Linked DNA regions of Tribolium castaneum. The protein of the gene in region 1 purifies or fractionates together with the protein of each later gene. This does not show direct contact. Links are inferred from orthologs where the notes say so. Each region holds a gene or a part of one and is shown on either strand. Other genes may lie near its edges.

Region 1 (8,270 bases):
GAGTCGTTAAGCAATTTGTCTTATAGATTTGATACGGAGTATACTCCACCGCACGTATAGTGGGTTGCCTGACAATTATTCAATTATGCTTTCAACGACACAGTGAGGTTATAGCGCCACTTTTTTAATTTTTATGGGCTTAATTATACACAAAATATGGCCCACAACATTCATGGAACATTTGTTTCTGAAAAAGTTAATAAAATCCGTTGGAGGCCCGATTTTATGAATGCCTCGCATTATTTTGTAACCGGCAGTTGGGACAATGACCAAAACAGCATCAAACTTTGGGATTTCCAAGAAAATGAAGAAGATGCCGAAGTTTATCCATTTCTGGTGGCTGAATTTCCACACAACGGGGACATAACTGAAGTTAAAGTATGTATATTACAATCAGTATTGCGATACGAGCCACGTAGCGAGTGAAACAATTTTTGTCATTTTTTAGTTCTTAAACGGCGATTTTTTCGTTGCTTCTTCGTCGTCGGGCTGCGTCAGTCTGCTGAAGATTACTTCCGAACATGGAATTGATCCCTTAATTGAGAGAAAAATTTACTGGGAGGGAGTTCACAAATTTCCCAATGGGGAGAATTGCCCTTGCACTGCCTTTTGCACCTACGACAACGATATTGTGAGCGTTGGCGAAGACGGTTCTATCAATTTGTTAAATGCCCAAAACCAAAACGTTATCCGCACAATTGAAAACGCCGATAGTTGCTCAATTCGTTGTGTGGCTTTTCTGAAGCATAGCGAAATTTTGACCGGTAATTTTCGTGGACAATTGAAGATTTTCGATATTCGGGCCCCTAAAAGCCAACCCGCGACCACTTTCATGTTGAGTGGGGATCAAATCTCGCCATTGTGTCTCCAAAACCACCCTACACAGAGGCATTTGGTGGTAGCTGGCGATGAAGAAGGTACCTATTTTTTTTTTATTTATGTTGGCAAACGCCAAAAATGGTGCCAACTTAAAGGTATTGGCAACTTTCTTTTAAATGATACCAAAATAGTTATTTACATTATACGTGCGGTAGGTATAATTTTACAGCGTGAAGTTTTAATAAAATTGAACGCTGTAAAATGAGTCGTCTAGTTCCAAAACCTGCCGTCTCTATTCAGTATTTTTGTTTAATGTTTAATACAAATGCTGTTGAACAAATAAATTTTAAATTACACTGATATAAAACCTCTTAGAGAGTAGAATTCGATGACCTATACTTTAATTACAATGTTTGAATTTAAAGCCTGCATTTTTTTTAAGGTTGGAGGTGGCAAGTTTTGGAACAAGTTGGAGAGGAGATGGGCGGTTATGGAACAAAATGTCTTTTAAAAATCCTTTTTTTAAGACTAGATAGTGAAATGGAATAAAAAAACTCAAACTACGTATTTGCTGAAATAACATGTGGCTAAAGTTTTAAGTCTTTTAAGGCAAACACATAACTCCAAAAAACAACGCGGAGATAGTTGATTTTGGAACGCATATATAAGATTACTTTACGTAAAGAAATGACATTGATATTTCAAACTTTAATGCAGTTGATGTTAATAACTATTTTTTGTTAGTATTTAGTCCGCCAGATAATTGTGCTAAATCCACATTATCATTAGTACGCAAAAAAATCAACGATAATGGTTCCTTTCGTCTTCAGCTTGCTGCTGTTGATGAAGTTTATGAAATAGTTATAGTGTTGACGAAAATATTTTTATTTTTGATGTTGTGTATAGTTCTGCGTAACTGGCTATGTCTATACCATAAACCAATGAAAACTTCCACAAAACCGCATCAATTATTTTGGGCATCTTCTTAGTACCTGCAAGAGGCTCATTATCTTTTAGGATTCCTTCTTGTAAACAACAATGATCAAAATAATAACTGCAATTGTGGGGTAAGTTTTTGTTGGTTTGCGGTTGACATAGCAAGTAATGTGAGAACTATAAGTATATACCCTATATATACTCAAAATTGACGCCCATGCTTTTAGGATTTGCTTCAGAAGACTAAAACAAATCGAAAGTTAAGAGTGAAAAATTGTCCAATTGTCCTTCGTTATCGAGTTATTGATAAGTATCTAAAATTTAAAATTTGTACATTAAATTTTATTAAAAGCGAATTTACCAAATTTGTTGTCACAAAGTATGCTATAATGCGATTTGGAAACTTTTCCGTGTAGGCCCTAGTCTCAGCAGTGGCATTGCCATCATACAAACATCTTACTTATAACCGAGCTTTTAACATATCGTCAAAATTTCGAATACACTAATAAAGTGGTATCTTATCATTTAACACATACAAAAACGAAGGAAATTAATAATACTCTTTACTAGACACAGTTATTCAAAGAATTTTAATATCGCTAACATCAACTAATCAATTATGTTGCACAAATAATTGGAAAGACAGCTAAAGCTTATTATTTACATTTTTATCAATAACTCTAAAACGAACAATTGGAAAATTTTTTACTCTTAACTTTCGATTTGTATTAATACCCTAAATCAAACTGCCATAGCACAGGCGTCAATTTTGAGACTTTTACTTGTTAGAACGTAATCTATTCAACATTTTTCAAACGAGCGTAAATGGTTGGCTTGGTTAAACGAAACTGATCGAAGAAATTTACATCACTAACAATTTCAAAATAATTTTTCTTTTTCTATAAATTTTTTGTCTTCGCAGTTCGGAAGAAGATAATGAATTAGAAGAAAAAATGAACACTTTCTTAATTTTGTGCAATTCAAAAAACTGACAAATTTAACGTTTGTTAAAGTTGCTTTTGTAATTTGCCGCCGTCTTTACGTCTTTACCTAATCATTATTTGACGAAATATTTTACGAAAATTTTTAGGTTGAAACGCATTTTAAAAATTGAAGTCACTTTTAAAAGTTTAAGTTACTTTAAAATGATTTATGAAACGATCCTACTTCAAGTTATTTCGATATAAATTTGGGATTATGACGTCATAACCGTCTCTCGAGCATTATTTGGTCCAATTTTAAGATCAAATAGTTTTTGATCACTGCCAAAGAATATCGAAATGAAGACACAATTTCTGAGATATTTTCGCAAAGTGCAAGACAAAATTTAGAACAGGTAGGAGTTTGGAAAGTAGTTATTTTTTTGATTTTGTAGAAGATATGTGAAAAATATGTGATTAATAAAAGGTTTCTGTGATGAGAGGCGGTTGTGACGTTAAGGCTTCACTTATTTTTTGCTGCAGAAAATTTTGAAAAAAGTCTCTATAGTTCCAATTTCCGTTAAAAGATAAATTAGGTAAAATACAATGTGTTCAAAAATGGTGGTTCATCAAGTTAACTATTTTAAATTTAAATTAAGCGGCACATTACGTTCAAATTTCATATGTGACTTGATGAACGAAGTTTTTTGAGCACATTTTATAAGTTGCCACTGCCTTCAATTTTAGTCATAGACCACTCTGATCAGAATTCGAAATATGTTATTTACTCCGTTTCAGGTTCGATAACGATATGGGATTTGCGCCAAAACACATATCCTGTGAATGTGTTGGATGCTCATGAGGGAGGCGTTATGGAAATACACTTCCATCCAGATCATCCTGACCAGCTATTCACTTGTTCCACTGATGGGGATGTTTGGCATTGGTCGCCTAAATGTGGCAGTGCCTCTAGTTTGCTGAATGGGGAGAATGTTTGGTTGGCATCCGAGGCTATCAAAAATAAGTTGGATGTTTTTACGCTCATGCCTAAATTGCACAAACCAATCAATAGTCTGGATGTTAACAGAAATAAGGTTCTTTGTGGGTGCGATAACGAGGCGGTTTATTTAATCAATGGAGTTAATGTTTTTAAGTAATTGTTTTGTACAAAGTTTCTAATAAAAAGTTGAACCACTATTTGGTTGTTGGCATATACGTGATAGCTGGAGGTCGTTATAATGGGTTCGTTATAACCAGACTCTACTGTATTATATCTTTGTTGATCATATCATCAGCATTTTACTAAGGTGTTTTAGGTTAAAACTTAGAAATAAGAGCAATATATACTACCACTTGTTAAAAAACACCACAATTTCACATTTTGTATATTTTTAATTTCGCATTTGTTGGAATTCGCTTTTGACCGACAATAATAACTAACCTCATCTACTTAACCTAACATTTCTCAACGTTATATTTTCGTTCAAAGCGCCGCAATGCCTGTCTCTAGCGATGTTGTTCGTAAAGAAACCCCCATGGAAATTATATTTGTACGTATCCCGTTTCAAAATTAGTCCAAAATAACTGCGAAAATTCCAGACAGACGAAGACCTCCCTTACGAAGAAGAGATCCTCCGCAACCCCTACTCTGTGAAGCACTGGCTGCGCTACATTGAGCACAAGAAGAAGGCCCCGAAGCACGGCGTTAACATAATTTACGAGCGGGCCCTTAAAGAGCTCCCCGGCTCTTACAAACTTTGGTACAACTACTTACGCACTCGCCGCCTCCAGGTGAAAAACCGCTGCATCACAGACCCCGCATTCGAGGAAGTCAACAACGCTTTTGAGCGCTCCCTTGTTTTCATGCACAAAATGCCGCGAATTTGGATGGATTATTGCAGTTTCCTGACCGATCAGTGCAAGATAACGCGGACTCGGAAGGTTTTCGACCGGGCTTTGAGGGCGCTCCCGGTGACCCAACACCACCGGATTTGGCCCCTTTACCTCACATTCGTCAAAAAGCACGACATTTCCGAGACCGCTGTGCGCATTTTTCGCCGGTATTTGAAGCTCAGTCCGGAGAATGCGGAGGAATACGTTGAGTATTTGACCGAAGTTGGGCGTTTGGACGAAGCCGCCGTTGTGTTGGCTAAGATTGTCAATGATGAGAATTTCGTGTCACAGCACGGGAAGTCCAAACACCAGCTCTGGAACGAGTTGTGCGAGTTGATTTCGAAAAATCCCGAAGAGGTGCATTCGTTGAATGTTGATGCGATTATCAGGGGCGGCTTGAGGCGGTACACTGATCAGTTGGGGCATTTGTGGAACTCTCTGGCTACGTATTATGTCAGGAGCGGGTTGTTTGAACGGGCGCGGGATATTTACGAGGAGGCGATTCAGACGGTTACAACTGTGCGGGATTTTACGCAAGTCTTTGACGCCTATGCACAGTTTGAGGAGTTGACGTTGAGTAAACGGATGGAGGAGGTGGCGCAAAAGCCCAATCAGACTGAAGATGATGATATTGAGTTGGAGTTGAGGCTGGCGAGGTTTGAGAATTTGATGGAGAGGAGGCTGTTGCTGTTGAATTCGGTTCTCTTGAGGCAGAATCCGCATAATGTGCAGGAGTGGCACAAGCGAGTGCAGCTGTATGAAGGTACGTTTGTAAATTAATATCATACAATTTTACTCGTATTTATTACTAAAATATCGGAAATTTTACCTTGTAAAAGTTGTACGATTTATGGTCACTTGTCTTTGAAAGTAATAGAAATTTAATTGTATTTTTCTCAATTTTTATGAATCGAAGATCGTCGATGTCACATGCAATTGTAAGCAGTTTAAAACTTGCATATATATCGGGCACTTGCTCATCTACCATTATTTATCTACTGCCTGTTTTATTGTAAAAAAAACCTATACGGACTCTTCAAATACATACAGGGCGTCTCAAAAATGGCGAATTCCGAGTTTATAGCATTGTAGAGAATCACTTCAGTAGTCCAAATGTAGAAAAAAAAGTTTTGGGTCTTCCCCACTTCTAATTAATAAAAAATTAAAAAACATTCTAAGGGTGGATAATCGTCGGCTAACTTTATCCTGGGGAGAAATTTTAAAAAATACATTGTTGTAACAATTGTGACCATAGTAATTATACCAAAAATACCATATCCGGAGTTTATTTCACGATTGTAAAATCCACCCCAAAATGGATTGAATTTAAAAAAAAAAAGACTTTTCAACTTAGTTGATTTAAGAAGAGAATAATTTAATTTTGGCTACTACAGTGATTTTTCAGCTTATTTTGATAAAACTGGATTCTAACAAGTATATTTTTACTGTACAGGGTAGTGCAATTTGGAAGAGGTTTTTAGAAAACAACGAGTGACACATTCTCAAATCCGTTTTTTTGAGAAAATAAAATTGATAAAATCCGCATCCCGCTATCGTCTTTTGTTTTAGACTTATAATTATAAACAAAACAATCTTAAAAAATTCATACAGGGTGGCTCTGGGGTGCGTAATCGGTCTATAAATTTTTTATTATTTGAAATATTGCCATGTTGTTTTCACTGTCCGATAGATCGACTTAAAGTCCACAAACTAAAAATAATTTTATTGTACACACGGTGTTGTATACAGGGTGGTGAACCAAAGTTACATTTTTTTAAATGAAACATCCTACATATTTTTGCACAATTGGATGCTACGCAAAAAAATGTAACTTTATATAAACTATAATGAGTCTATCTTTTTTTGTTTCGGAATTATTCAACTTTTCGGTACCAATTTTTGAAAAATCACTGCGAAGTAGTGCGAAGTCGCCTATGAATAATTTTCGAAAAATTTGTAATAGAAAAACTCAGAATACCTTGTAGTTTTAGCAAATAGACGACTTTTAGTTAAAGCACATAGATTATATACAGAGTGTGCCAAAACGCAAAAAGTTGAATAACTCATTTTTGTCAAATGGAACACCAAATATTTATTTACACTAACGATAACATTTTTCATAAGCTTTCTAATGATATGCGGATTGTATAGCAAAGGACTAGGCACACTTCTTATGGGAATTTAAGGACCACTCAAATTGAGTAATTTTTATATTTATATTTTTTAGTGTTCAAAAAATTTTTTTTTTTTTTATTTATTTTATTATTAATTTTTGATGAGCCAAATTGATTTATGTATCAAGTAATAATTAGATTACTAATAGTTACTAATTACTAATAAGTAATAATTAGTCACATTAGTACATAGCAAAAAATAAATAATCATTTAACTTAACAGGATAACAAATTTTATTGTAATAAAATAATTTTTTTGAAAAATTTCGAAAAATATTTTAAAATTGCTATGAAGATTCCATATCGTTAAAAAGCATATCAAAAATGCTATGGATTCATGAAAAAAAATACAGTGTTCCATTTGAAAAAAAATGACTTTTTCAATTTTTTGCCTTTCGGCACACTCACAGGTATTCTAAATTTTTGTTACAAATTTACCGGAAAATATTAATCGGCGACTTTGCAGTGATTTTTTAAAAATTGTTTTTTTTTATAACGAAATGTAAAATAATTCCAAAACGAAAAAAGATAGATCCAAAATAGTTTATATAAAGTTAAAGTTTTTTGCGTAGATTATGAAAAATATATTACCCAACAAGTATATTTATAATTTAATGATGTTTTTAACACTAAATAATCTAAAAACAGTATAATAAATTTATTAAATGTTATGAAGACTGTGCTAAAAGACTGAAAAGTTTTCTCTAATAAAACAACTAACAGAATGCCTTTTTTTGCAACTAAGCCGTTAAACGTTGAAACCAAATATTTTAGGGAGTAAAATGCAAAATCATTATTGGGAGCTATTACATACATAATACTTAAGATTTTATTTATTTATTGTTGGAATTCACAAACTGACTTTGTCTTGATTTCTTGCGGACCATTCCCGAATTTTGCTTTTACACTCTTCACTCAACGGATTGCCACTTAAATAAGTGGCTTTTTTGGCTTTAAAAATTTTATCTAAATCACCGTCCAGACACGTAATCTTGTTATATGCAAGGTTGAGAGCCCGGATAAATTCAGCATCTGCAAGATAATCCTCATGCCATTGTTCTATTTCATTCTGAGACAGATCCAAGGTATCGACTAGTTTCCATCCTTTGAAATTTTCAGCTGTAATTTTCTTAATTTTGTTGCTGTTTAACTTAACCCACTGTTCTTTTTGGTTGTAAATATTTTTAAATGCTTGGACTGGAAGTTGCTCGATGAGATTATTGGAAAGAAATAGGCGATAGATGTTCGGACAATTACGCAACCAGTTGTTGTTATATTGCGCCAATTTATTACTCGACAAAATTAAATTTGCCAGGTTGGGCATGTTGTTGAATGCATCTGGTGCAATGTGGGAAATTTCGTTATTGGCTAGCTCTATGTGAAGCAAAGTTTTGTTATTGAAGATGCCAGCAGGAATTGTTTTTAAGTGGTTTCGATTTAGGTAAATTCCCTGTAAATTTGGCATTCGGCCCATGAAATTTTCTGGAACGGTTTTCAGTAAATTACCATCCAAATATAGGTAACGTAT
Region 2 (7,954 bases), on another chromosome or scaffold:
TTTACGCAAAACTGGGAACCGATTTACAAATTTTCGTAATCACAGTAGACTTCTATTCGCAATGAAGATGCAACTTTGAAGACTGGATGAGATCGAGTGAAATATTTCTCATACCGAATTATCCTTTAATAAATTTTTTGTTCCCCCAGCTATTTTTTTTGCTGAATTTTTTGTTCCCACAAAGTTTTTTTACTCCATTTTTTATTATCGTAAGTCATTCTTCTTTGCTTCATTTTTTCTCCACATAAGCTTTGTTTTTGTTCAATTTTTTGTTACTGCAATTTTTTTTGTTCTGGCACATATTTTTATTGCATTTTTTGTTCCCACAAAACCGATTTACTTTTAAATGCTTTATTGCTTAATAAAGAATGACCTTACTATACCATTTTTTAATGCAATGATACATCATAACAATAAACTCTTTATCTTATAATGCAATTAATTAAAAAGTAATCAAATTACTTAATTGATAACAAGTTATTTGTCCCTCCATTCTTTGTTACCATTTTTTCTTGTTCTTTTATCGCCGTAATCAATTTTCTGCTGCATTTTTTGTTCGTGGAAATATTGTAGCATTTTTGTTTCCACAAGCTATTTTTGCTGCACTTTTTATTCCCGCAGATATTTTTATCCCCAGAAGATATTTTTTTGCTCCTTTTTTTGTTATCGCAAGCTTTTTTTGCTTAATTTTTTGTTCCCACAAGTTATTTTTGCTGTATTTATTTTACATTGGACTATTTAACTTTGAGTTAAAATACTTTGGACGATGTTTCTTTAGAAAGTGTTGACCATATGTTTGCCACGCCACTGTCCATTACTCATCCTTGAACACGATCTGTTGTCTCATTTAACAGACACAAAGACAGTGGGGGAAATTCGAATTGCGTGATTATGACGGAAATGTAGTATGATTTACCTCTACGTGCCTAGTCACCGACTAATACCAGAATTTCCGTTAAAAAAATTACCCAGACAAGGTGGTAAGTGATGCACGTACGCCCCTGACCCTACCTTTATTAACTAAAATATTTAAACTCTCTTACAAAAAACAGAAGCAAATTAACTTAAAAATACCCAAAATCGAATCAATGAAACCTTCAACAAATACCAACAAACGAGTGAGAGTTAAAACGCTTCGTAGTAAATGTTTGTGTGACATAACCTCAAACTACACATTTGAAAAATAACATGAATTTTATTTACATCCTCTTCGTTATCTCACAAGTCAAATCCGAACTCGCAAACACTTTAGAACCACTGATTGGTGTAAATAAATGTTGCGAAGAAAACGAATTCTATGAAGGGAAACACTGTACCAGGATAAATAAAACGGAACAACCATGGAAGCCCATGTTTTACAGCGAGGACGGCAAAACGAACATTCAAGTCAAATACAGGTAGGAAATACCAAATTGGTGTGACTCTTCAGTGATTTTTTCCAGACTGGTAACGGGTTTGCCAGACTGTGGGCCAAAGGCCCCCTGGCCCATCTACCACTACGAAAATTCAACCGACCGCCTTAGACTACTTTCAAACGGGGTTCTGAGGCATTATTTCGACCGTAATATTCCACATGAGGACGAATGGGACGGTGGTAGCAAAAATTCGCTATACCATGACTACGAACCTGGCAAATACTGTTTAGACAAGGTACAAATTATTAGATTAAACTTGTGCCCAATTTAATGTTTCAGAGAGTCGACGATAAACTTGTGAGTCAATTTGCTCGCGTTTGTGCCCCTGATCATCACACACATTGGACTGAAACGAAATTTTTAATGCGAAATATTGTATCGCCCATAACGCACTTTATTGGAATTGTGTGCCTTCTGATAATAGCCATCATCTACTTCATAATGCCAACTTTACGTGATCTTGTCGGTAACATTGTTACCACAATCAGCATGTGCCTTATTGTCAGCCAAGCCGCTGATTTAATCCGACTCTTGACGGTTTTTGATAGCCATATAAGCCTCATTATTAGCGATACCATTTGTTATTTCAGTCTACTGGGGGCGTTTTTCTGGCTAAATAGTTTGGGTTATTACATTTGGAAAACCTTCAAGTAATATTGATACGAACGGACGTTTCATAAATATGCAAATGTTGACGTCATTGCAGGTCAAGGAACGTTTTTCTGAGAATTACAGATGGGAAAAAATACTGTTATTATTCGATGTATTCATGGTCTTGCACGCTCTTGTTGGGCGTTTTGGCCGTTTTTGCCCATTTTACCATGGACTATCCCGAGGACAAACCGCAGCTTGAGCAAAAGGAAGAAATCGGTAAACATACAATAAAAAAATAAACTTTTTTTTCTACTGGATAATACTTCATGATCGTATAATTTTTAAAGATGCAAGATTATTTTAATTTTTAATTTGTTTGTGTGCGATTTTTTTCACTCTGTTTATAGCACTAAAATTTTGAAAACGTTTATTTCAGGATCCCTGGGGATAATCCTATTTTTCGTCCCCGTTGCCGCCACAATAATAATGGACATATTTTTCTTCGCCACAACATTAAAAATCATAAGCCGAATGCACACATACGGTCGCATCCACCATAAATTAACCCACAGGTAGACAGCAAAAACAATCTGCCAACTAAACTAAACCACTTTTTGCAGCTTTCGCATGTTTTTCTTATTATTGCTAATAATGACAATAACATGGCTGTTTTTCCTGATGTCATTTTTCAAATTCACTGGCCTAGTTAACTGTTACATAATATTGAATGCATTCCAAGGGCCTTTAATTTTATACGTTTGTATTTTCAACCAGAAACACGTCGGATATCTGGTACGCAAAACGTGTTGTTACGAAAATTGCTTTTGCAAGTGTTGTCGCACTGAACCTGAACCAGAATGGGGCGACGAAATGACAGCTATGAATACGGGAATCTATTAGGCAGCTGAACGACATTCCGTCCGTTTTATCCAATTTTGACATTATTTATGTATTTAATTTACATTATTGTGTACTTAATATTTATAATAAAAATGATTAAACGACTCACCTGGCTAAATAAGTGTCCCTCTGGCCGTTTAATGAGAGCTGAGAGTTGGCAACGCACCACCAAGTGACTGTCATCCAAGACAGTATTGAAGAATCTTCTAGTAGGAAGAAGAGCCTCCAAGTCAGTCACTAGTTCAAGAAATCGCTCACAGTAGTGGATTTTGTCAAGTGGACAAATCCCATCTTCTGTGATCGTATCCAGAATATTCAAAAATTTTAAAATGAGTTTGTGCAAAAAAGTCCGCTCCCAATTCAGTCTTTCTAACTCTTCTGGCTTATCTTTTTTCTGAATGGCTTTCCAATACTTTCGCCACTTTGGGTTTTTCTTAAACTCGTATTCACGACGCCCGGGTTGTAAAGACACCCACATTGAGAGCGAAACTAACCGCTTGACTTGATCCCTACAAAGCCCCTCTTCCATGCTATTGAAGCAATGATTGAGAAACACAAGCAGTGAAGTCTGCTCTCTTAAATTGATTAATAATTCGTCTTCTAACAATCCTTTAAGTACTTGTTGGAAAAAATCAGGAAAATGGGTGGGATTTTTCCGAAACGCTTGCCACACTTGCACCCGCTCCCTAAATTTCTCATTCACCATGTTCACAACGGACAACATGTGGGCATACGAAGCCCCCGGTTTGTAGTTGGGCCACAGATAATTCTCCAAGTATTGGCTGAACTCCAACACCATTATTCTACGAATCGAAAAACTGGAAAAAAATTGTCATAACCACACTTTAGCGGTGGATTGGTTTTTTACTTGCTACCGCGGATGTCTTGCAAGTATATGTCGTCCACGATTTGGGAGTCGAAGGGTTGCTGGTTTTGGGCGGAATGCGGGGCCCAGTATTTTTCGGCAAACTTTGGAAAATTGAAAGTAAACAAGGTTTCAGGTTAGGATGGGGTAACTCACTTCAGTGATTCGGTCGGCGTTAATTTGCTCCACGGTGGGAGCCACCACTTTCGTGGTGTTGTCGGCCATTCGGCTGGGGGCACACACCACGCAAAAATGGTTAATTAGTTAAAAACTTTAATTAAACAACGTTTGAAGAACGCTACCTCTACAAATTTCTGGGGATTTTTTACTTAATGTTTGTTGTGTTGGTGCAAGCGTGGCGCGGTTTGAATAAAAATTGAGAATCCAAAAAAAACGGGGAAGAAAATTTGACTGAGACAAAACTCGAATTCTTTGTTGCTGATCAAGAAATACTTGTTCGAAGTAAAGACCATATTAAGATTCGAGCTTTACAAAAATAAAATGCATTGTTTAGAAAGACCAGTTAATACAAATATTAGTTATAATCTAGCAAAACATTGTCAAAATAAAGTCATTTTTGACTTTCACGGGACGTTTTTCGTTCTCTTCAAGAAAAAAAACTTCTAAAATTTGCAAGTTTTTAACTATAAACCTGATGAATTAAATCGCAGAGAAATTCAATAATAAAATTAAGAAAATCAAAGTAAAACTTAAAGTATTTTTTTTAATAAATTTAAAAAACTCGAGAAATTTAGAGAAAATCATAAAAAAATAATTTAGTCATTTCTGGGCGTTTATTATTACTTCTTACCTCATTTTAAAACAAGCAATTATTTGCAAAAGAATTCTAGAAAATAATTACATTAGAAAAAAATAAAAAATTAAACTAAGCTCAATTTTAGTGGCCTTATTGCAACAGATTGTTTAAGAGTGTTTTTGCATTATTTTTATTGAAATAACATAAATCAAAAAACTTCGTATAATTATTCTGTATTTTAACATTTTTAACTAATTATTATGTATTTATTTCTAGGGATTACAAAAATTAGTATTTTACAGTAAATTCTGAATTCTGTGCGCAGTTTCTAAAATCAAGTATATATCTTGCTTAAATGTTAGGAAAAAATTGAGATAAAATATTATATTTTTATTAAATATGATGGTCATTCGAAGTTTAATTCTGTGTCTTCAGGGTTTTGTTAATTGTTAATTAATGGTAGTATTATGGCGTTGCCATAAATGTAAAAAAATAAAACACGTTCTTTGATATACTACTTTGTTTTATTTGGTTTTGATTTTGATAGTCAAATTCAAAAGCAAAAAAAGTCAATAAATTACAACTCGAATAATTTTGGTTTCCGAAATCGAAAATCCATCTCCTTGTCCCATCTCCTTCCACTCTTGCACCTCATCCTCTGATTGATGATTCAGTGTTCGAATTACCCAATCTTCAAGTGCATCAAGTGTTCCATTATCCGCGGCGCGCGTCTGCCTCTGAAACATTTCCTTCAGTCCGTTCGCGTCCGCTGCAGGAAGAAGCTCGCTTGCGTTTCCTCCTCGTCCGCGATGTGATTTCCGGAATGTCGGAATCAAACCCCAAACTCGACTCCGGCACCCGTTTGCCGCTCCACCACCGCAACCCCAGCTACACAATCCGCGTGATCTGCTGCGTCCTCTTCATCTTCATCACCGAGATCTGCCTGGCGCACTACATCTACCGACTGATCAACTCGGAAGTCCGCAGCGACTACGTCTCCAAAGAGGACTTCCGCCAGTTCTTCCTCAACGAGCTGCGCGCCGACCAGGCCAAGGACGAAATCGTGCGGATTCTCATCCTGCAGGAGCACCAGAAGGGCACCAGGAGGCGACGCGATGCCGACGATTACCAAATGCTCAACTCGCCGAGCGACGAGCCACACGTGGAGTTCTTCAGTCCGGAGATGAGGAGCACGCTGGAGAAGAAGGACGAGTTGATAAGGCAGCAGACGGGGAACAAGGGGGCGGCTCCTGGGGGCGATTCCTGGATCTGGCTCACGAGCTACAGCCGGATTCCGGTGAGTATTTAAAAAAGTGTTTTGTCTTCAAGTGCGCTCAAAGCTCAAAGAACGCTCGTTTCAAATATTTATAACACAATTCTGAACGCGCTCTCGGCCTCACTTTTCACCTTTTCACACACGTTGGACAAATTGAATTGTTACGTGAACAAGTTCGGAGTGTTGGATTTCGTCCCGATTTACTTTGTCCAATCAGACACAGTTTAATTACAGTTAATTATGTAACAAGAGTTGTCTGTAATTACATTCTTACGGAGATTTCCTTTACCAACGTCAAATGCAATTTTTCTGTTTCAATTTACTGGCTAATTCTGTCCACCAATAAACCAGCTACAATAAACTTCGAATCCTTTTCTTGAATTAAGAAACAAAATTTAACAATTAAGGCGTATAGCAAAAATATTTTATTCCTTATTTTTTAATGTATTCATTCAACTCTTCTTCTTCTTTGCTCCTCTGTTTTTTATTATTTACTTTCTTTTACATTGAATTTTTCAGTACTTTGTACAAATTTTGCTGTCAATTACAAGCTTGTTTCAGCATTTTTTTCTTTTCTTCTGTTATCATTCGTTTCACTTTTATACGTTCTTATTCTTCATAAGTTCTTCGTTTGGTGGCCAAAGATTATTGGCACTTTTTCTTTACTTCCTTTTCATTAATAAATAATGTTTTTTCTTTACGTTTTCTTTTCGGTATCATATCTTAAAATTCCTCCTCCTTTAATTTCTTCAGGTAACCAATGTAATAGTACACCTACTACATGGAGCAAAACAAGTTTTGAGCAGTTTCCAGTTGATGTATCTACTTTGTTTTTATTACATTGGCAAAGTTTAACAGAATTATTTTACAAAAAGGAAAGGGTTAAGAGCTGTAAACTCTGTTGTCTGTTCGACGAAACTTTAAACTTTTTTCCCTTATTTAAATAAATTGTGTTTGTCCTCACAACACACGTCTGTTTAGAATTAATGTTCTACTTTTGCTGTGCAAAAAATGTGTGTTTGCTTAATCGGAATTAAACATGTAATTGTAACCGTGAAATTACAGATAAACGGATGTTTGTTTTAGAAAGAATCTAAACTGAAATTAAACTGCTCGCAAAATCATTGACGTATTTTATTGTTTGCGTAATAATGGTGGAGGCGCCGGGAGACAACTAATTATAATAAACAGGTATTTTTTGTGTTTGGAAGATAAAGAATGTCTGTGTTGAAAAAGTTGTATTAGGTTTGCGGTGTGACATTGAGCTATTATTCAAGTAAAGCTGGTAAAGCTAGGGCAAGTGACAAGATAAGCTTAAAAAAATTAAACTTATCGCTCTACATAAAGCTTTATCATTTTTCAGCGGCTCTGACGTTTTTCTAGCTACGTAATAATTCCTGAAATTGTTAAATTGTTTGATTAACGCTTGCAATAATATTCTCCCCTATTCGTAAACTACTCGCATCTTATCAAAGATTTATTGCTCTAATTTCACGTAATCGGGAGCATTCCACGTTTCACACGAGAATTTTTCCTCAACGTTTATATTTACCTAATCTTCAATCGTTACTTTACGTTCTGAACGCTTTCATCCTTTTGTAAAGCGTATTTGTATGCACCTTAATAATCTATTGATCTCAGTTTTAGTTAACTTAAATAAAATTTCGCAAAGTTGTATTAGCTTTTAATCGCTGCTAAGCCTGCAATAATTTCGAATTTCTCTCTATGCTGAAGTGGTATATTGTGCAATAATCTGCGAACAAATGCTCTGCTCAGTGCACAGGGGATTAGAGCACTGTTATATATTTTGTATTTACGGCAAAACTGAACATTTACAAGCTGTTTACGTTGCAAAATTAATTTAGTTTTGTCGATGACAATTTAACGAGAAAAAATCGCAATTATCTCGGCGTTTCTGCGAAAAAGCGTCATTGAAAAGTTTTAGTAGTCGGCACACAATACGGTATCGAATTACCCACCTAAATTATTAACAAACTAAGCGCATTCTTTCGTCCGAACTAATTAAAATTGGTTAAAACTATTTCAGTCGTTCGCTGAACTGCAAACTCATTGCACTAATTAATTAGCGATTGGTTTCGGCGATTTGATGAGCCATTTTGTGAAAAATTCTAAGTTTATTTTGACCG

Evidence for each region.
Region 2: the proteins of fand (region 1) and RNA helicase aquarius fractionate together in Homo sapiens (co-fractionation; 3 studies listed by BioGRID and IntAct, with this or other methods). This does not show direct contact. The link is inferred for Tribolium castaneum from reciprocal best matches to the Homo sapiens genes XAB2 and AQR.

Annotation. Positions count from the first base shown.
Region 1 is NC_087398.1:14,036,263-14,044,532, reverse strand, and holds the start of fand (pre-mRNA-splicing factor syf1 homolog), read left to right. Parts: upstream 1-4,050; 5' UTR 4,051-4,171; coding exon 4,172-4,225; intron 4,226-4,274; coding exon 4,275-5,331; intron 5,332-8,270. Other genes in the region: nucleoporin Nup43, read left to right, coding at 157-378, 449-917, 3,474-3,832. UniProt on the Homo sapiens protein: Involved in pre-mRNA splicing as component of the spliceosome. Involved in transcription-coupled repair (TCR), transcription and pre-mRNA splicing.
Region 2 is NC_087396.1:23,733,160-23,741,113, reverse strand, and holds the start of RNA helicase aquarius, read right to left. Parts: upstream 4,129-7,954; 5' UTR 4,000-4,128; coding exon 3,931-3,999; intron 3,879-3,930; coding exon 3,778-3,878; intron 3,728-3,777; coding exon 3,019-3,727; intron 3,018-3,018; exon of another isoform or gene 2,910-3,017; coding exon of another isoform or gene 2,630-2,909; intron 2,582-2,629; coding exon of another isoform or gene 2,446-2,581; intron 2,286-2,445; coding exon of another isoform or gene 2,122-2,285; intron 2,066-2,121; coding exon of another isoform or gene 1,695-2,065; intron 1,651-1,694; coding exon of another isoform or gene 1,443-1,650; intron 1,398-1,442; coding exon of another isoform or gene 1,189-1,397; exon of another isoform or gene 1,053-1,188; intron 981-1,052; exon of another isoform or gene 713-980; intron 149-712; exon of another isoform or gene 1-148. Other genes in the region: mthl5 (probable G-protein coupled receptor Mth-like 5), read left to right, coding at 1,189-1,397, 1,443-1,650, 1,695-2,065, 2,122-2,285, 2,446-2,581, 2,630-2,909; uncharacterized protein LOC659930, read left to right, coding at 5,355-5,828.